Linked DNA regions of Caenorhabditis elegans. The protein of the gene in region 2 interacts with the protein of the main gene of each other region in a pairwise test. Each region holds a gene or a part of one and is shown on either strand. Other genes may lie near its edges.

Evidence for each region.
Region 1: the proteins of prmt-9 (region 2) and lin-66 interact in a two-hybrid assay, tested with the Caenorhabditis elegans proteins (one large-scale study listed by BioGRID).

What each region holds. Positions count from the first base shown.
Region 1 is NC_003282.8:13,884,825-13,895,816, forward strand, and holds lin-66 (GATA-type domain-containing protein), read left to right. Parts: upstream 1-3,264; 5' UTR 3,265-3,386; coding exon 3,387-3,525; intron 3,526-3,576; exon of another isoform or gene 3,577-3,597; intron 3,598-3,678; exon of another isoform or gene 3,679-3,699; intron 3,700-4,015; exon of another isoform or gene 4,016-4,036; intron 4,037-4,267; exon of another isoform or gene 4,268-4,288; intron 4,289-4,730; exon of another isoform or gene 4,731-4,752; intron 4,753-4,926; exon of another isoform or gene 4,927-4,964; intron 4,965-5,051; coding exon 5,052-5,320; intron 5,321-5,438; coding exon 5,439-5,719; intron 5,720-5,847; coding exon 5,848-5,995; intron 5,996-6,045; coding exon 6,046-6,450; intron 6,451-6,458; exon of another isoform or gene 6,459-6,482; intron 6,483-6,844; coding exon 6,845-7,301; intron 7,302-7,349; coding exon 7,350-7,534; 3' UTR 7,535-9,161; downstream 9,162-10,992.
Region 2 is NC_003282.8:12,676,936-12,687,810, forward strand, and holds prmt-9 (PRotein arginine MethylTransferase), read right to left. Parts: upstream 7,444-10,875; coding exon 7,275-7,443; intron 7,221-7,274; coding exon 6,943-7,220; intron 6,176-6,942; coding exon 6,066-6,175; intron 6,011-6,065; coding exon 5,752-6,010; intron 4,376-5,751; coding exon 4,074-4,375; intron 4,011-4,073; coding exon 3,845-4,010; intron 3,172-3,844; coding exon 2,955-3,171; intron 2,312-2,954; coding exon 1,959-2,311; intron 1,109-1,958; coding exon 983-1,108; intron 926-982; coding exon 863-925; 3' UTR 463-862; downstream 1-462. Other genes in the region: T23B5.6 (Transcriptional regulator), read right to left, coding at 1-101, 152-267.

The DNA.
Region 1 (10,992 bases), 1.2 Mb from region 2:
ATGGGTCTCACCACGAAGGATGACAGACCCCGCCCACAATTCTCAGTGACTTTGGGTGTGACGTCACAGACTACAAAGACTACATAGACTATTTTTAAATTGATATTTATTTATTTAATTAATTAATTAATATTTTTTTATTTATTTAATTAATATTTATTTATTTATTTAAATAATATTTATTTATTTATCATTTACTATATATAAAGCGCGTGTCCTTCTGTCCCTATGTAGTTTGATCTTTGATCAGAGCAACGAAATTTTGGGAAACCTTATGTTAAGTGCGCAGCAGACATCGATCGAGGTCCGCGATAGACACCGTATATCTAATGTGTTTTCTCAAAAAGTCGGGGGCCCGTCGTAGGTGCGGTCCACGGCTGGTAGAACATATAGTTTTTCCTGTGGTTTTCCAAGAGTTCTGGGGAAATGAGACGAATTTTGTGCGAAAATTCAGGTTTTTTTGAGTTCTTAAATCCATCGTGCCGACACCCAACTATCGAAGTTTATTAAATTTTCAACAAAAAATCACTAAATTGTCACTGCGAGACCCGATAAAACCCACCCGGCAGTCCCAATTAAAATCAATTTTTCCGTTTCACTGGATTTATAAAATATGTTTCTCGAAAATTACTATTTACTGGATTGATAAGATGCAAGAGTGTTTCTAGAACAGATCGGATTCAGGTTCTGGCACGAAAAAAATTTTCTAAGCTACAGTACCCATGAGTACTGTAAAAAATTATTTTTATTTCTTTATGTTCAGTAATTTCTAAAAGTAAAAAAAAACATAAAAACGTTATATACTTTCGTGTGATAAGATCTAAGAGCAAGCGTATTGAGAAACCCTGCAAATTTTCTACCGTACTCTTGGGTACGGTAGCTGAAAAAAAAAGCGCTCGTTGCGAGACCTCAATCTGCAATTTTTCAGCGCTGCTTTTTACAGAAAAATAATAAGCTTCCATTTGCAACTCGTCTTCGGTATTATTATATTTCAAAAATAATGAAAAATTGCAAAATATTAATATTGGGTACTGTAGCTGCAAAGTTTCAATCGTTTCGAGACCCAGTACCGTGCTTTTTCTTCAAAAATCGCCAACTTGCGCATCTGAATAATTCGTTAAGCGCCTTTAAACGGGGATTACTGTTTTTTATTACATATTCATTTTCCGTGTTCCCAAAAAAATTTAGCAGCAATATAATTGATTAAATTAGCAGTAGTACAAAAATTTGAAACAAAAACCACAAAAAGTCGTTGCGACACTCGATAAAACCCGCCCGGCAGTCCCAATTAAAATCAATTTTTTTCCGTTTCACTGGATTTACAAAAAATGTTTCTCGAAAATTACAACAATAAAACGAGAACTGGCATGATACTTTTGAAAAAAAAATTCTCAGCTACAGTACCCATGAGTACTGTAGAAATTTATTTTTATTTTTGGTTTCTTTCTGTAGTTTTTGATTTTCAGTTATTTCTTGGGGTAAAAAAACAAAAAAATATTTAATTTGGTGTGAAAAGAGGAAACGTATTGGGAAACACTACAAATATTCTACCGTACTCTTGGGTACGATAGCTGAAAAAATTTCGCTCGTTGCGAGACCCCAATCTGCAAATTTTCAGCGCTTCCGCTTGCAACGCGGCTTCGGTAAAATTTTTGAAAATTTTAAATACAAAAACTACATATGACTTTATTGAAAATCTTGAAAAAGGCCAAATTCCTTTTTAAATAAACGTGGAAAATTGCGAAATAATATTTGTGGGTACTGTAGCTGCAAAGTTTAAGTCGTTTCGAGACCTACTACCGTGTTTTTACTTTAAAACTTGCAAACTTGTACATCTGAGTAATAGCGCCTTTAACCCCGGATTACTGTAGTCTATATTTTATTACACATTCGTCATTTTCCGTGCTCCCAAAAAGTTTAGCTACAATAGAATTGATTAAATTAGCAGTAGCACAAAAATTTGCAACAAAAATCACAAAAAGTCGGTGCGAGACCCGTTAAATCCAGTCCCAATGGAAATACGATTTTTTTTCCGTTTCACTGAATTTATAAAAAATGTTTCTCGAAAATTACAACTGGATTAATTTAATAAGCAGTGCGACATGAGCAAAATTTTCTGAGCTACAGTACTCATGAGTACTGTAGGAATATATTTTTTGTTAATTTTTGGTTTTTTTCTTCTTTAGGTAAAAAAAAACAAAAAACTATTAACTTTCATGTGAAAATATCAAACGTATTGGGAAACCCTACAAATATTCTACCGTACTCTTGGGTACGGTAGCTGGAAAAAATTCGCTCGTCGCGAGACCTCAATCTCGCATTACTGTATCTTATTACACATTCGTCATTTTCCGAGCCCCAAAAAAAGTCCCTAACAACATTTCGCAACTCTAGTACTCCTTATCACTTGAAAAAAAAATAGTAGACTACATCTTATCAACATGTTTTTTGGTTACTTGACAGGTATACTGTAGTAGTGCAGTAGAGCGCACTTGGCTGCGTGGAGGGACCCAGGACCAATTTAAAGCTTGTGAAGCGAGGATAATCCTTTGATGACGCTTCTTCTTCTTCTTCACATGCATATTCATATATTTTTATAGACTATTCTTCTGCTGCAGTACCCTTTCCTGTGTGCTTATTGATTTCCTCTCTCTCTCTCTCTCCATCCCTTTCTCTCTCTCTCAGTCCCCCAATAGATAGATAGACCGGGCCGGGGTGGGCTGAGTGGGTTGTGTGTTGCGTTGCTGGCTCACCCGAACGAAAATGAGGGTGAGTGCGAGAGAGTGCGGAGACGCAGACCTGGTGTCCCTCGGGCACGCTCGCGCACACATATACAGAGTGGTTAGAAGAGTCGTAGACGCCGAGACAGAGAGATCACTACTCTCCGATGAGCGTTTTTGCGCGAGCGAGCGTCCGTGAGCGTGAGTGTTGAGCGGCGGGCACTCTCTCTCTCTTTCTCCTTTCGGGACACAGCGCACATCTTCCCGTCTTTCTCTGTTTTTCTCTAGCTGTCTCTCTCACACGATGCACTCTCCCTCTCTCTCACTACACACAACCCCCATGTTGTTTCTTTTCACATACTTTTTCTCCGTCTTCTCCCCTATTTTTCGTTTTATTCTTCTTATATTTCTATTCAGTTTAGTTTTCATACATATATTTTTGAGTGCGTATGTTGCTGCCCAAATTCTGTTCTTTTACTTTTTCCTTCTAAGTCATCTCCGATCCTTAACCAACTACTCTAATCTAATCAAATCAGTATTCCAGTATTCTCGAGGCACCGAGGATCCATCACGTCATCCATCCCGAACGATCGATCGACGTGTTGTGTTGTCTGTGGTGTGTGAATCGACGCGACGACGAACGGACTGAAGACAGCTTGAAACGGGATGTCTTACGAAATGAATAGTCTCTTCTCGTCGAATCAGCAACCACTCGGAGGGGGACCACCACCTCAACAACAATCACAGCAGCAGCAACAGCCACCACAGTCGTTATGGTCACTCCAACAGTTTTCGCAGATGGGAGGTAAGGAAGCACCCCACCAGTACTCAAAGATCAATATCGATCCGAGCCCCCGATTGTCTAGCTCTAAGTTCAACAATACCTCTCCTACAAGGAAGGCTTTAGTGTGCATCGTATAACGGTACTGGATACGATAACATATATAAAAGTTCATATGCAAATCTTTTAAAAGCGTTAATATGTTTGATTCTTAAGCTTCTGCTTTATAACCATTGTGAAACAGTACTTTTTTGTTCGTGTGCACCATAGGACTAAAGGACTAGAGTTACTATAAATGTACTCCTAGATACCCAGGTTTTCTAGGTTAGACCCTTTAAGGAGTACCGTAGATTTTTAAGAGATCTCGTGTTGTAGTCTTTACAGGATCCGCTTGACTTATTGGTTACTGTAGAGGTACTCGAATCACGGTACTGGATACGTAAGCATATACCGTATTTCGTCTATTAATCGTGATCTCTTTTAGTCTTGCATGCAATACTAAAACAGGAAATTCGGAATTAAATTGGACCAAACAATATTTTTGATTCTCACGCGTTTGCTTTATATCCATTGTGTAACAGTATTTTTTCTGATAATCTAGGTTCACGGGACTAGCCAATTAAAATTATAAAGGTACTCCTAGGAACCTCAAGTTTTCTACGGTAGACCCTTTAGAGGCAGCCGTATCATTTGTGAATATTACGGAATACGGTAGATTTTCAAGAGATCTGGTACTGTAGTTGTAGGATCCGCTCGACATTTAAGGTTTTGTCGGAATGAAATGGTATTACTTTTCCTTCCTACCTGTTAACCTTTATAGATATTATGAAGCAATATTTTGTGAGGGGCCGGGTCCCGCAGCGAAATCATATTTTTTAATAAAAATGTGATTAGCATTACATGCCCCTGTAAAACGGAACCTTACGAAGGCAATGGGTAGTGCAAATGCACTCTACCGAACCAGGTTGCAGTGACTACAGTTATACGGCACACAAATTGCGTACAGGGATCACTTCTCGAGCACCTTGTACCCACGGCCATCATATAACTTCTACGTACCTTAACCTACCGTAGTTTCAACTTTGTGCATTGTGTCAAATGCCTAGGACGCTTATGATTACGCAATTTTTAAAGTACGGTGAGCAATTAGAGGGGACCTAGAATAAATTCGAAACGCACTCCATTTTATAGTTTTAACTTCCATTTCACCCTCCATTCAAATTTTTTCTAGAACAACCTACTAATTGAAAACTGAGGTAAATTTGTCAGGTGCCAATATTTCCGTTAAATTTGAAACAGTAGAATTGTAAACTAATAGTAAAAAGTTAGTGTTCAAACATTCGATCCCGTACCGTAACCTATCGTAGTTTCCACGTTGGGTACTATCAGCGAAAAAACCTAAGATATTCATGATTAAGCAAAAATTCAAAACGAAGTGAGCTCGCATTGCGGGTTCATAATTAATTTTTAGGTTTTAATATTTTTTAAAAATCAAATAGTTGAAACTGCAAAATTTTTTAATTTTTCTCCCAGACATCAGTTTATTTCAGCCCCGGACAACTTTGGGAACCACGCGGTCCCATTCATGCCAACACTCGGAATGCTGAATCAGTACCAGAACCCACATCCACTTCAGATGGTCCCTCCACAGCCTCTCGTCACTCCATCCCAAGTCCTTCCACCGTCTATGGCTGAACAACAGAGAGCCGACACCATCCATGGATTCGGAGTGTTGACTTGGTTGTCTGCCAAGGCTGGTCTGATCACTTGCAAGGACAAGATGATCATCTCGTTCCAGCTCAAGGACTTTTGTGATCAGGTTAGTACAAACCCTTTTCGATTATAAAGTACCTTATAAAATTAGCTAATCTAATTACCCATATGATCTCTATGATCTACCAAGGTTAGCCTCACTTCAACATCTGACAAATTTTCAGATGCTCAATGACTTGACTTCCGTGCTTCGTGTTGGTTTCACATTGTCGTTCCACGCTGCACTCAATGAGACAAGCGAGTACACCGCCACCATTGTCTCACCAATCTATGGTCCCGATGCTGATGTTCTCTTTGCAAACTCCCAAGAAGTCGACCTAGAGGCGGCAAATCCAACTCCACCAAACTCGAAGGATGCCTACTCGCCGGCTCTCGAGCAGAAGGCGATTCCAGCTCTCTTGGCAATTTTCCAACGCCACGGATTGCAGCAGATTCAGCTGAGCAGGTAGGATAGATGTTTTGAAAGTTGCTTGATTGCTAAGTTTCGCTCTTTTGTGCCTCCTTTCTATATATTAACTGACCATTCCCTTGCTCACCTTATTTGTTCGACGGCATCTCCATGACACCCTTCAGGAGTTTCAGCCTTCACTCTCAAATGTCCAACTGTGGGGATGATGAGCTATTCCGTTATGTTGGCACATCATCGTTGAAGCGTCGTCAATTCGTGGAGCGTCGTACTCATCTCTTCCGTCTTCAAAATGATGACTCCATCATTCTTCAGGTAAGCAATTCTTCAGAAGATTTAGATATTCTAAATCTATTCCATTTCAGTATCCAGCAGTGTATCAAGCTGTCTACCAATTGGCATCCTATCTTCTCCGTCGTGGTGGAGCCACATCAATCCAGTCGCTGTTCGACTACTACGGTAGCCCAGACATCATGCCAGAAGTTCGTAGCCATACTGGAGAAGGACGTCAGGACTTCCTCAACCTGCTGACTGCTCACAACTGGGTCTTTGCTCTGTTCCCCAACCGCACCTATGTCTCTGTTCGTCGCAATCTGCCAAACTATGACTATGTCGGATTCATCAAGCAGCACTTCCAAGAAATGGATATTACTCGTTCCCAGCAGATGGCTTACGGACAGCCACCACGTGGAATTCAGAGAACCATGTCGGCTCAGATGGGCAGCTCGTTCGCCACTGGAAGACCACAGAATTTGCTCATGCAGCATCAGGTAAGTATATCCATGATTAGATTAACAACGTAGCGGTTTTTTCCAAAATCACAAAATATTTCACAAGATGATGAAACAGTAGTTATCACTTTCAAATAGTTGAGTTGTGAGGTGAACACTGCAATGCCGTAGAGCTTTGTCGTGCTTGATCAAAAGACACGAATAGTTCTAGAATATCTGTAGCGCTGTAATTTTCAGGAAGCAAATTTTCTGGGGCCACAGTAGATCACCCATCGTTCTACTTTGACAGCCTATATCTCGGGTGTCCTTAGCTTTATCAAAAATTGTTCAACTATAGCGCAAACTTTTGTAAATTTCACAAATTCGTAACTTGACCATGCTCTTCACGTGCTGAAAATTCAAATTTCTATAAACAAAACTACATCTTTTTCAGCACGCCATGACTCCAGCAGCGACCCGCTCGGGCTCCCTCTGGGACTCTCAATCTTCCCTCTCTCAAAGCGGAAACAGTGGAGACCAATGGAGCCCTCTCTTCTCCCCAAGCACCTGGTCGAACAACACCAACGCGAATCCACGTCTCACTTCTCTTACTCCGTTGAGCTCGATGAACGAGACGCTTCTCTCGGGAGTCAACTACAACTCGTTGCTCGCCATGCCGCCAAGCGCCAAGAACGAGAGAAGCATTGGTGTTCAGGCTGATGACTTTTTGGATCGTATGTCTTACAATCCAATTGGACGTACCGGATGCACTTGTCAGTGCCAGTGTGGAAGAGGTGGAGCTGCGATCATTGGAAACACTCGTGGATCCTCTTCCAGAGCTTCTGGAGGATCGGCAAGCCCACCAAGTGCTGACGGTGCCAGCCAGATTGATCGTTTCTCGCCATCCAATCGTAAGTCAAAACTACAATGGGAACTAATTATAAATTTACAATTTTTAGATGCCGGATCAATTGGAGACCGTACTCTTACCGCCGCGGCTCTCGGTGTCGGCCTAGTCGACCAACAGCCAGCAGCCCCAAACCACGATGGTAGTGCTAACCAACCTCAGCGCTACTATGACCCTTTCGGAACCGCCGACTTGCTCAACGGCACCCGTTTGAACTCACTCCGTATTGGTAACTGAGTGATTGTACATACCAAATTTCTTTGTCATACTTCATACCCCATTTTTGATGTTCTTTCGTTTTTTGCTTTTCACCGAGTCTAAACCACACACATATTCACACGCAGTAATTCTAAGTCCCCACCCAACTCATCATCAATCTCTGTTCTCAAAAAATGTTTCTTTCCCTGTTTTTTTCCCTTGAAAAAGTCATCCCATTCACACTCCTCTTCCTCTTCCTCCCTCATTCAAACATGTAATTTTATAGCCGAACGGGTTAGTCAAAGACGCTTGTGCTATAATATGAGATACTTATCAAAATGTTTTTTTTCCGGCAAACCTGGAAACAAGTCGCGTAGAACTTTATCGTTCGGGTTTCGTGTTTTCTGGTGATTTAGTCAGTCTTTTTTTTATTTACTGTTTCTGAAAACACATTTTAAATTTCAAATTTCAAACCCCCATTTCACTTACACGTTTTTGTCTTGCCTTCACTTTTTCTAAGTTCCCCAAAACAATTTTTTTTGCAAAACCTACTCTCTGTGATTCCATTATAGGCAATTTGATAGATAGTGTTACTTACTAGTCATTCTCTTTTTTTCTCTCTCTCACTCACTCAAAAAAAGCTGTGTTACAAGTGCAAAACTCCTCCACTCCAACTCTGGGATCCCAATTTAACAAAAATTCTTGTATTTTCATTCAAAATAATTCGGTAATTCTATGTCTCTCGCTCTCTCCCTTAAAACAGTGATTTTGGTGCATTCATTCAGGTATTTTCACACTCTTTGATCGATTCACACCCACACCCACACACACCACTCCCATTTCTGTCGCAACCCTGTTACGTGTAAAAATTTGCAACCATCCGAATATACATCTATTGTAAACCTGTAAAACCCTACCACAACCCCCCGTACCGTAGAAATTTCAAAATTAGTACTACTTTGGAAAGCGCGACCCGGGAAGCGTCGGCTGCAACACACAGAGCGTTGCTGAGGCTATAGCTGTGATGCGCGCAACTCGGAAAGTGTCGGCTGCAGCACACGGAGTGTGAGAGCAGTTTTCCATAGTAGTTCTTCCCTTAAAACATTTTAAAAAAGTAAAAATCTTCCAAAAAAAAATTAGTCAACTAAATTAGTAGTTTGATGAGCTCTGGTCTTCCTCCATTCACCTCTCTCATTCACACTCTCTCTCTCTCACCTTCTCTCTATGTCTTTCCGTCTCTTGAACACTGTACGCGTCTCAATTTCCAATGATCTGTTTCCCCCCAAAAAATATTTGTCGAGGCTATTACCCCCTTTTTTATTTTTATTTTAATGTTTCAATATATCTTTAAAATCCACCACCATCCTTTGCAATATTATCTTTAAATATCACCTTTTTCCATACCATGTTTGCCTTTTCAACTCCCCTTACTTTTTTACAAGTTGGCTCTCACTCGTTCATTTCTCACCCCCTGTTTGGTACCTGTTTAAACGAAAGTGTCCTTTTCTCTCAACACAAACCACTGCAACTAAAAACCCCAACCCATTCACTCGAGTTTTCCACGATTGCACACGATTTTTAATTTGTGTATCATAATGATTTGATTGTCGGAATTCTTTTTTTTTCAAATGTTTCTCATTATTTTAATAAAACCCCACAAAATCGGATTTTATTGATTCATACTCCACCATCAAAAGTGTATTCAGAAAAATATGAAAATATTTTGCAATGGGTTCATCAATGGCCTCAATTCCAGTTTTACAGTAAAAGAAAATAGACATTTAATTTTAGTGATTTTTTTTCAAAATTCTACTGCTTCAATAATAAGATTTGTTTGTATTGTGGTTCAATGTTGATTCTATGCGAGATCATCTTAAATTAAATTTTAAAGGCTAGGTATATTTCGCAGTCAATTATACAAAATAACATTGTGGAAAACCTTTTTTTGGGGATATTTTTTAAAAATCTATAGGTTTTATAAAAATTCAATTTTACTTGTTTAATTTAGTACTGAATTCATCCAAATTTATTTCGGGTTTTCAAATAATCTAGCACACTTTGAGCAATTTTTCGTAGTCCAAGAAACCAAAAAAATTAGAAAAAAATAATTTTAATAGTCTCATCGAAAGAACGAGGGAACGTACATAATTATTCAGTTGTAGTAAATTTATCGGATAAAATTACTGTTTCATTAACAAAACAGAACACTGTTATGGTCATGTTCAATCTCTTGCAATCTCGTGACTTCCTGCAAAAGTATGTAAGAGAAAAAGTTTAAAAAATGTTTAAAAATTGTAGAAAACGTTAAAAAATATAAAAATATTTTCAGGTTTGCTCGTTCTAGTATTCAATTATGCTCTTGCAGTACAGTCATAATTCTATCAAATGTTTCACATTATTTTAATAAAAACCCACAAAATCGGATTTTATTGAATCATGTAGAATTGTCAAAAGTATATCCAGAAAAATATTAGCATATTTTGTTAAGGAGTCATAATGCCTCAATTCCTGGGCCCAATTCCAGTTTCACAGTGAAAGTAAATAAACATTTAATTTTAGTGAATTTCTCAAAAATTCTACTGTTTCAATAACCATGTATAAGAAACCGTAATAATGGTTAAATGTTTCATGACTCAATTTTTTTTCAATTTTCTTAAAGAGCAATGTGGAAAATCTTATTCGGGGATATTTTTTAAAAATCTGTGAATATAGATTTTATAAAAACTTAATTTTATTTCTTTATTTTATTACTGAATTTCTTCAAACTTATTTCGGGTTTTAAATAATTTAGCTCATCTTGAGCAATTTTTTATAGTCCGAAAAAAAAATAAAAAATTAAATTTTGATGGTAACATCGCAAGAACAAATATTCAAGTTTTACAGTGAAAGTACAAAATTGTTCCATATTTTTGGGTTTTTTTACAAACATCTGTGGATATAGATTTTATAAAAACCCAATTTTATTTCTTTAATTTAGTTAGTACTGAATTTTTCCAGATTTATTTTGGGTTTTCAAATAATCTAGCACATTTTGAGCAATTTTTTATAGTCCAAAAATCCAAAAAAAATTAAAAACTAAATTTTAATGGTCACATCACAAGAACGAATATTTCAGTTTTACAGTGAATGTACATATTTATTCAAATATAGTAAATTTACCAGAAAAATTCATAAAAACTGCTAAGTGTGATCATGGATATTGTTGATTCGTTAAGTTTCTCTCAACTTTATAATTTCCTGCTCAAGAATGTAAGAAGAAAATGTTTTCGTAAGGCGGTGAACATTTACAAATATTCATTTTGCTTATTTCAGTATTTAATTATAGTCTTGCAGAAGTGTACTTCTTTCAAATGTTTCACAATATTTTAATAAAAACCCACAAAATCGGATTTTATTGATTCATGTTGACTTGTCAAAAGTATATCCAGAAAAATATGATATGAGCATATTTTGTGAAGGATTCATAATGCCTCAATAGAATTAATTCCAGTTTCACA
Region 2 (10,875 bases):
ATCGGCTTCCTCCATCGCCCTCCATCGGCTTCCCGATGCTGCCGCTCACCAATCCATCCGCACACCGACCTCCGACCTCCGACCATTGCCAAAGATTGAAACTGAATTGTGACAAGATAAATGAGTTACTTTATATAACAAGCAAACTCACTCTTTTGGTGCTTCACCGTGCACAATTCGCTTGACGATCGCCGATTCCAATCTTCCATCGACCATCCCCTTGGCTGACCGCCACCCGACATCCGCCAACAGCAATTTGTCCGCCATGCTGCTCGAACACCACCAGCCAATGCCACTGCCAACGATTGAAACTAAATTTTGTCAAAAAATCTGCCCTAATATAGCCACGCTTATCAAGATGTACTACATCATCACGTAGCCACGATTTTTTAAAATTTTTTTCTTCCACGGTTTATCATGCTTTTTGTTCTTTTTTTCTTCACTATTTCTGCGTAAGGTATTGAGAAACTGAGATTTATTGCGTGTTTTAACGAGAAATGGTATTGAAAGAAAGTAATCATTCAGGTAGTAGCTGATTCAAATCAAAGGTATCAACAAATAAAATAAAAAAGTAATAAATAGAAAAGGCAACGAAAAGTTGGAGGAATCGGGAATTTAACAGAATAGTGGAATAGTTAGATCCTACAATATTTGGGAGTGAATTTGAGTTTAAATTTTAAAATTTTAAGAAAACCCAGCCTTAATAATTATCAGTGCAATGAGAAAAATTTTGGAAAGAAGGGAAATAATGGGGTCCGAGATTTAGATAAGTAAGAAAATTTAGAAAAAAATAGAATTAATTGATATCGATTGTTGAATTGTTTGTGAGAAACTGTTGATGAAATTGAAGAAATTCGACAATTTATGGAAGATCTTTGAGCGAGATGAGCATTTCACCGAGATGCAAATCGAATACCACTGTCATCTGAAAATGAACGATTTTAATTTAAATAAATCAATTTTCGTGGAAAAAAACCCGTACATCTGGATTAGTATTCACTCTTTCCGGGAAAAGGAACGCGGCAACCGGACGAAGTTTCGTGTTTCTGATTCCCAGGATTTCGAATTCATAGATGACACCGTCGGCGATGGGGCGAGTTGGTTGAACCTGAAAAAAAAAAATTAAATTTGAATGTTGGCTTAATAATAAATTAATAATAAATAACTTTCGCTTAAAATTCGAAACAAGATTTCCTAAAATTCGAAGAGTCAAAATTTTCGATTTTCTGAAAAAAAAAAGGTTTAAATTTGTTGTCGAATTTCAGCTTCTAGAAAAAAACCTTTTCGAACTTTACAGAAAATTTCAAAAAAAATCCAAAATTATTTTCAAAAACTCTATTTTAAAAATCTATTACACAACATGGGTACGCGGTAATTGCCGGAATTGCCGAAAATTCACAAAACTGGCCATTGCCGAAATTGCCGGAATTTTTGAAAACCGACAATTGCCGATATTTCCGGAAATTCTCAAAACCGGCAATTTAAAAAATGCCGGAAGTTTTGAAAACCGGCAATTGCCGAAATTGCCGAAAATTCTCGAAACCGGCAATTGCCGATATTGCCAGAAATCTTAAAAACCGGCAATTGCCGTAATTGCCGAAAATTCACAAAACCGGCAATTGCCAATTGCCGGAAATTCACAAAACCGGCAATCGCCGAAATTGCCGGAAATTTTTTCTTCCGATTTTTGTCTTTTTTTTTAACCCTAGAGTCCCCGATATCAACGAAAAAAACGCTAAATTTCTGCAAAAAGGATAAAATCGAAAGTAATAAAAATTAAATTACGACAGTTGCAACAAAATTAGCAAAACTTTAAATTTTAAGAGGTTTAGTCTTTTTTTTCCTAAATTTTGAGCCGCAAAAAATTTTCTTCGAATTTTAGCAGATGTTTCATTATAAAATTCCGTGTTTCAAGGCTATTTCTAAATTTATTCAGCAATCATAGGTATTATTCTTACCGTAACGTCCTGTGTTACAGTGATATATGTGTCCTGTCGGAACTTTTCAGCGCTAATATTAAAGTCGTATAACACGAATTCCTTCGAAGCCATCACAATATCTTCTCGTTGAGTTAATCTAATATCACGCATCTCTCGAAGATTAAAACTTCGAACAGTACTCAAATCGACTTGACAATGAGCTGAAGGATCTGGTCGAGCATCGAAATGAACTCTATCTGAATAGAAGAGATGTCCAAGAATACGGAATTTTGTTGGAACAATCTTTTGAACGTGATCTCGGAATCCAACGAATTCTTCTATTCGGAAGAATGTCTCTTGATCCAATGTACCGTCGTAGCGACAGAAGTTAGCTGCAAATAAGTAAAAGTTAATTCGGAGTTTTAATAAATTTTTTTCGAACATTTTTCGATTAAAATTTTCGTTTTGAGTATTAATCTTTTTTTTCCGAAAATTTCTTTTTTTTTTTAATTATTATCGCTTTTTTCTGAAAATGTTTTTTTTTTCCAGAAAATTGATCGATTTTTTAAAGAAATTTTCTGAAAAAAAATTTTTTCCCGGAAATTAATCGATATTTTTAAAAAATTTCTGAGAATCAATCAATTTTTTTTCTTCTAAAATTGTTTCTTTCTATCCAGAAAATGAGTCGGTTTTTTCTGAAATTTTTTTTTTTCCAAAAAATTTATCGATTGCTTCTAGATATTTTTCAAATTTTTTTTTCGAAATTTATCATTTTTTAATGAAAATGTACCTCTTTTTCCTAGAAAAGTGTTCAATTTCTCTGAAATTCGTCGATTTCACCGAAAATTTATTTTAGAACTTTCAAAGTGCATAGATTTTTCAAAAAGATTTATCGATTTTTGTTTTCGAAAATCTAACAAATTTTTAGAAACGTTTTTTTTCGAATTTTTTCAAATTTCCGAAAATGAATTGACTTTTCCATAATTTAGGAGCGTTTAATTATCAAATAATAATTTCTAAAAATTTCTGACATACTAATAAGATGCCTTATAGGCGTTTGGCTTTCCACAGTATTAAGCACACACTGAGCTGGAATACTCGATGAAATATCACGAGTAAATGGAAGTTCAATCGGATCAATTTCTCCCATCATTGCCTTGAAATAACTATCATCACGGATTTTCTGAAGTTGATCCAGTGAAGCGGTCTCGTAGCGAAGACTGTCCTCGTGCTTTTGAAGATTTTCGTCGTACTGAAAACAAATTTTATAAAGTTCTAAAATTGAAATCTTTTCGCTTTTTTTTAATCCTAGAGAAATTTCAAAATCGAACAACGAAAAATTTTCGATTTTTGAAAAAAGGAATCGGAATTTTCGGTTTTTCGATTTTCTGAACATTTTTTTATTAGATTTTTCGGAAAATCAACAATTTTTAGTTTTTTTTCGATTTATAATTTTATTTTCAGAAAAATTACGTTTTTCTGCACGGTTTTTATGTTGCTAAAGTCGAATAATCGAAACATTCTTGTTTTTCCGATATTTCGAAAACAATTTGTATTTTTCGGAAAACATATTAAAATTTGGGTATTTTTCTAATTTTTTTAAAGAATAAATATCTGTTTTCTTATGTTTTTTTTTTTAATCAAAATAAATAAAATTTGATAAATATTAAATTTTAATATAAATTTTCTGCATTTTTCTTTGCTTTTTTTTTTTTGGTTTTCCGGAAAATCGAAAATTTTCGTACTTCGATTCTTTCTTTTCCGAAGTTTTCTGATTTTCTCTGAAATCCTATAGATTTCAATTTTGAAAAATTTCGTAAAACTTCCAAAACTGTTCGACATTTCAAATCGGATTTTCTCGAACTCTATCAATTTTTCTTGCATTTAAAAGTGCAAAATCGAGTAAATCGACAAAAACAACGTACAAAATCATTGTACACATCCAATCGATTATTCAAGAGTTTCCATGATCCTTCATATTCTTTATCACACTTCACCAAACATGGTTCCTTGAATGGAATAATTCCAAGATCCCATGCTCTTGATTTTGACGAGTCAATGATATTGTCTCCGTGACCAGTTAGATCAGATCTTAAAATTGAAAGTTTAGAATATTTCAAAATTAATTTAAGTTTTTTAAAGAGTAAATCTCACGTGAAATGGACAGAAAATCCGTGTGCTACTCCATCTTTCGCCGGTCGAATTTTGAAAGAATTCGAGTTGGCAAGTGAATCCTTCAAATTGGCAATACTGCTAAAATCGACCGAATGCATGGCTACTGAACCAGAAAGAAGTTCAAATTGAGAGTAATCTGCAGCTGATGCACACCAGTACGGTTGTTCGGCATCTGATTCGCCAATTTTCACGTATTCGGATCGATAACGAACTCCTCCGTAGTCTTGACAATGAATATCGAAGATTTCACGACAACTGAAGAGACGGACGTAGACGGTAGCCTGGAAATGAATAAAGTTATATTAAATTAGGGAATCAGAATGCTTTCAAGAGGATTATAGAACAAATTGTATTTCTCTGAGAGCTAAACCTTTTTCAATTTTGATATTATGGGAATTTCGCTTCTAAAAATAAAATAAAAATATTCTAAAATTCCGAATAACAATAATTTCTCTGATTTCGTCCAAAACGAGAACTCCCCGATCCATCATCGATTCCAGGGGTGTGCGGCAAATCTCAAAATTTGCCGAGCTCGGCAAATTCGGCAAATTTGCCGTGCTTAACAAACTCGGAAAAATTATATATTTTTTGATATTTTTTGGAGCACCAAAACTACTGAATTCTTAACACACCTCTGGTTTCTGAACAAGTTAGGTGTAGTGTGTCTGCTTAAACATCAAAATAACTCAATTTGTTGTCATTTTACTAAATTTTTGGCGAAAAAATCAACAGTTTTAGTCAAAATTGTACTGTCAAATTTTTGACGTGTGCGGCAAATTTCGAAATTTGCCAAGCTCGGCAAATTCGGCAAATCTACTTTTTTGAAATTTGCCGAGCTCGGCAAACGGCAAATTCGGCAAATTTGCCGCACACCCCTGATCGATTCGTTTTAAAGGTTGAGCACCGAAATCTTATAAATATTTTTTTAAAGGACTTCAAATTTTCCCCAGATTCCGAATTCTATGTGAAAAAATTCAAAAAAATTCCCTGATTTTAGCGTGAAATCAAGATTTTCAAATGCCGATTTTTCGCACCAGAGACGTCATGTGTCGATTTACGAGATTTGTGTATATTTACGAGATTTCCAATCTTTATCGGATGCTTATTTTGTTTTTCAACGAGTTTCCTTCATTTTCGTCGGTTTTTGCAAAAGTTTTTTAAAGGAAAATGTGTTTTTAGGTTAATTAAACATTATATCATCAAAAAACGAAAAATTTGTCAGGTTTTTGATGATATAATGGTTAATTGACTTCAAGAACACACATTTTCAAAAAAAAAATTGGCAAAAACCGACGAAAATGAAGGAAACTCGTTGAAAAACTGAAATCATCATCCGATAAATATTGAAAATCTCGTAAATATACACATGGCGTCTCTGGCGCGAAAATTTGGATATCTCATGAGGACGCAAATGAAAATTCGCGATTTTAAGCTGAAATATAAAACTATTTTTGAATTTTTTTCACTTAGATATTCAGAATGAGGGGAAAATTTGAAGTCATTCGAAAATATTTCCCAGATTTCGGTACTTCTTATTTAAAAAAATTAAATTAACTGAAATTTCATACTGAATTCGGAATTTTCAATCTGTTAGCTTTCAGAAAACATATTATTCATCGTAGAATTCTCTTGAAAATACGGAATTCCAAATTGTTACCTGATGCGGAATAAAGATAGTTCTGTCATGTGAAAAACGAACATGAGCGTCCAAGAAAGTCTCTACAATTTTTTCTCCGAATACACAGCAATCGAGAGTTTCGGAAACGACTATATCGGCTTTTTCACAAGTTTCAAAGTATGTCGAGTTCTTTGCGTGAACATTAACACGACTTTCAACACCGTTTCTCTTTAAAACCTCCTTAGAAATCATTGTCAGGCACATATTTTCTTCGAGAGCGGTCACCAAGTTGGTTTTTCTGGAAAAAAGAATATTTATAATTTAATTTTAATTTTTTTTTTTGAAAGTCTTACCTCGCAGCAATAGCCGATAAAATACCAGTACCGGATCCAATATCGAAGACAACTGTGATTCTGCTCTTGATAGTGTCGTTTAGAGCTTTGGCAAACGCTTCGTTTCGTTTCTGAAATTATTTTGCAGTTTAAAAGACTAATTTAAAATTTTTAAAGCTCAATTTAGCTAAAATCCTAAAATTCAGCTAATTTTTACGTTTAACAGCGGATTTAAATTCGATTTTATTAAATTATCACTTTTTATTGCATATTTTGGTTGTTTCTTACGCGTTTTTATGCTGATTTAGGGATACTAAACGACGAAAAAACTCGGTGAAGAGTGAAAATCCAATAAAAACTGATTTTCGGCGGCTTCAAACTGGCAAAATTGAAAATTTCAGCTAAACTCAGCACTTTTTCTTTGAAATTTTGAATTTGAGGGACTTTTCTGATCCGTTATTCCTCAATCAAACGTAGTTTCTGAATAATTTTAACTTTTTTTTGCATTAAATGAGGGGTATCGAATTCTTTAAAAATGTCCGAATTTCATTACTAGAACTAAATTTAGCATAAAGTCTTCAAATTCTCCATTTTTTACGTGTCTGAGCTGACTTTAATTCGTTTTTATTGCTTTTTCCGCATGTTTTAGTAGTTTATTACCAGTTTTAATAAAATTCTAGGTGTATTTTCAGTGTTTGGGAAACTATCGACTGAAAGTGTACCAAAATAAATAAAAATTAACTACAAATTAGCAAAATTTGAGATTTTAGCTGAATTTATCACTTTTTCTTCAAAAATTTCGAATTTGAGCTCTATTTTCTTAAAAATTCGCTGTTGCGATTCCGTTTGGATACATTTTTTTCCAGGAATAAATTCAATGCTAGCGGTTTTTAATTACCACATCATTGATCATTCGAATATGCCACTGTGGGAATGGAATTGTGGTTAAATTGACACGTGCAATCCTCAAAGCCACCAAATCCTCTGGTTTCGTCGCCAAATCCATCGAATCTTTGCAAATCGGCAGGCAATTCAGAAGCCATTTACTCTGCTCGGTTCCTTGTACAGCACGAATCAGAGCGATTTTCGTTCGAATCGTTTCCGGGAATAATTCCTTGATTTGTGGATAAAGGCAGACAGCCCGGGAAGCATTGTTGTGGTCCAGCGCAATCCAGCCTGCAAAAAAATTAGTTTTTTTAACAGAAAATTACACGTTTTTCCTTATAATACCATGAAGAGCTGCAGCAAACTGATCTTCATAGACTCCACGTCGTTCTACTGGTAGCATTCGTATGCAGACGAAGAAATGTTTGAGTGCCTCCTCGAAGTTTCCATCGAGAAATGCCCGTTCGGCCTTTTCCATTGAGAAGCACGGTGTTTCCTGTGCTGGTTCGGCCATCTGACAATTTATTTTTTCATTTTTATTGATAAATAGGTTAGAAATCATTAAAATAAATGAATAAAACGAGCAAAATGGGCTGGGAGCGTTCGAAAAATATATTTAAATAAATCATGGCCTAGCTCGGGTGCCTCCGTGTTTTCTCGTCCTCAAACACTTTTTTCGAGTCCCTCGTCTCGAAATTGCAAATTTTCGGCGGGCTTTTCAATTTTTCTCACCTCCCCGAACACTTTTTCAACCCAAAAACTGACATAATGTGTCGGCACAACTTCAAATGAACTTGACGCCTTCCGCAACCCGGTTTCTTATCGATTTATGTACTTTTTTGTTCAAAGTGTATATCGGTGTCCAGTTTTGGGATAAAGTGAGAGAGAAACGGAAACATTTGTGTTTGAAGCCGTTTTGATTAGTAGATCGTAAGTTTTTTAATGAATTTTTTATGGGCTACGGCAGAAACGCGGCATTTCAAAGCTCAAAAGGTTTTTTCTCGTTTTTTTTCCGATTGTTTAAGATATTTAATACGAATTATTACTCTAAATATGTGAATTAAAGCTAGAAAATCGAAAGAAACGGAGAGAAATTAAAACAAAAAATAGGAAAATTTTAAAATTCCGCAATTTGCCGTGAAAGTGTATGCAGAATCCGCAAACAACATCACGTCAAATTGCGGGAAAAGTGAAGTACAGTAGTCATTTCTTGCGTGTATTTATTTTATTTTCGAAAATTTTCTGAAATTAGTCTTAATTTTTTGTATTTTTTCACAATTTTTTCTCCCAGCAGCATAGAAAAATGTGACAAATATTTGTTTGAGCATCTCTGAGTAACAAAACGTTCAAAGTTCTTTATCACTTTGATCGATTCCGACTTTTTAGTGATTTACGACCAAGATCTCTAGAACAGAAATAATAACTTCACCTCTAAATGCCTATTATCCCATCTTATCCTTTCAGTTTTCATTTTCCAATTCCGTTCGTTCCGTTTTCTGTCAATCAGCCAAAAAGTTGTCGTTTTCCCAGCGGGAGACGTCTTCATTTCGGTCTTTTTCCGTTTTCTTTTCACCATTTCTGTCAACTGTCACCGGGGAAAAGTGTATTTTATCGTTGGCAATCACAATGATTTATTTAATCGGCGGTTTTTCTTAGATTTTTTAGATTTTAAAATTATCACCCAATTTTCAGGAATTCAAAATCGGTCATTTCTGAAACTTTTCGAAAAAACGGTTTTTTGATTTACTGTTTGAACTATAAAATTTACTAAAAAATTCTGATTTCGATGGAAAAAATCTTTTTTTGACGTTTTTCAAAAAACGATCAAAATTTTCAATAATATCCGGATATTTCTAAATTGTTCCAAAAAATTGTTTTTATTAGTTTTAAAGTTTAAAATGTGGAACATTTATTCGAATATTTTTTAAAACCCGACACCATTGCTCGTACCACAAAAACCTTCAATTATTCGATGGTTAGTCACACAATTTTTTTTTGAAAACTTTATCCGGAGCAAGTTTATTGAGCTCCGAACACGGGTAAACTCCTCAATTAGGCAATGGGTCACTTGTCACAATAAATGTCCATTGAAAACTGACAACATCTGGTGCTCAGTCCCCTCTCTCTCTCTCTGTCTTTCCTTTGAGAAACCACCTGCCAGATGTATATATTCGAATCATTTGACAATCTGCGTCTCTTCAATTCCACGAGCATTGTCTAGCTTCTTATTGCAAATATATATATGCATGCGCGCAAATGATTATTTTTTTTCGCTCGCATAGTTTCCGCATATCAGGCGTTTCCGTGCGGAAAAATAATAAAAAATTTGACACTTGCGCGTTTTGCAAAAAAATGTGTATTGTTTGTTTTAGTTTACGATCTCGCTTTTTTCAAAAAAAAAAGAAGTGCAGGAAGAAGTTCGTTTTTGTATATTTTTAGAGTCACTCCCCCGTATTCTTAACTTGCACGGCCTTTTACATCATCAAAACTAGGCTAAGAATTCAGATTCAGAGAATATATTGTGTATTTATTTCCACTTCTACGACTTTAAATGTGGAGTACCGAAATCTGAGCATTTGCGTTTTTAGTCCTAAAATGACCCAAAACTACCGAATTTCGTAATGAGACGTTATGAAATTTTCTCAAAAAAAAATTATGTCGGTTCAAGGTTCTGGAAAAAAGGCAATTTTTCAGCTAAAATCAAAACATTTGACAACTTCTCGGCGTGGCAGCGTGTGACACTGAGAAGTTGGCAAAAATTTTGATTTTAGCTGAAAATTGGCCTTTTTTTGCCAAACTTTGAACCGCATCTAACTTTTTTTTGAGAAAATTTCATAACGTCTCATTACGAAAATCGGTAGTTTTGGGAAAATACACAGTATATCGATTGACATTCTAAAAAAATTGCACATTTTGCCGTTTAAACCCCAAAATTAAATACAGCTCAATATATTTATCGGTGCTGTAAATGCATTTTTCCCTTGGTTTTCATAATTTCTCACTTGAGTCTAAATCCGATCAGAAATCAATTGACCCCCCCCCCCCCCTTCGGCTCTCGGAGCAACAATCTCAAGAACTTGTATTTGCACATTGTCAAACATAAGTTGACATTCCCCAGATATATCTCGTACGGTTTGGATTTTACGTGATATATCTTACATACTCGACTTTTTTCTGTACTGTTAATCGATTTAGCAGTGGTAAAGACGTTTTTAATTTGGGCCTATTATTAAGAATGAAGACAAAAACTAAAAAATTTACGACAAGACTCTAATTTTGGGAGGCAGAAAATTGCAGATCTAAATGAGAAAATATAGACCCCTTCAAAATTTTGGCTCTCGAGTTTTCCCGTTTACGCACGTGGGGCCAGGCTGTCCCATCACGGTCTGATCTACAAAAAAAATGCGGGAATTCTTTGCTCAAAAAAATGTGACGACAGCACGTTCTTAACCATGCGAAATGAGGTGAGAACTCTGCGTCTCTTTTCCCGCATTTTTTGTAGATCTACGTAGATCTACGGCGAATATGAGACACTCTGACACCACGTGTATATTGTATATTTTCATTCTCAAGACCAAGTACAATTTCAAAAATTTCGAAAAAATCTGAAACCGTGTAAAGTGTGTAGGTGGCAGGCGGCTGCCCTCCTTGTTTGAGGTCATCAAATTATGCAAACTACCATTCATGCTGCCGAAGAGGTGGTAAAAGGAATAAGAAGAAGAACAGTGACAGGTATAGGACGACGCATAATTTTATTACCACACGTCCTCTAACTCTCTTCTCTCTACAATACCTCCTATCTCATCCGTTTTCCCTCGAATGTTACTATTAGTATTTCTAGTATTGAGGGGAGGTAGTTGTATTACGATTTTTGAACATTTTTTGATTTGTGTCGTTTGGAACGGTTTTGTTACAGCATACAGTAATAATGTATGTTTTACCAAAA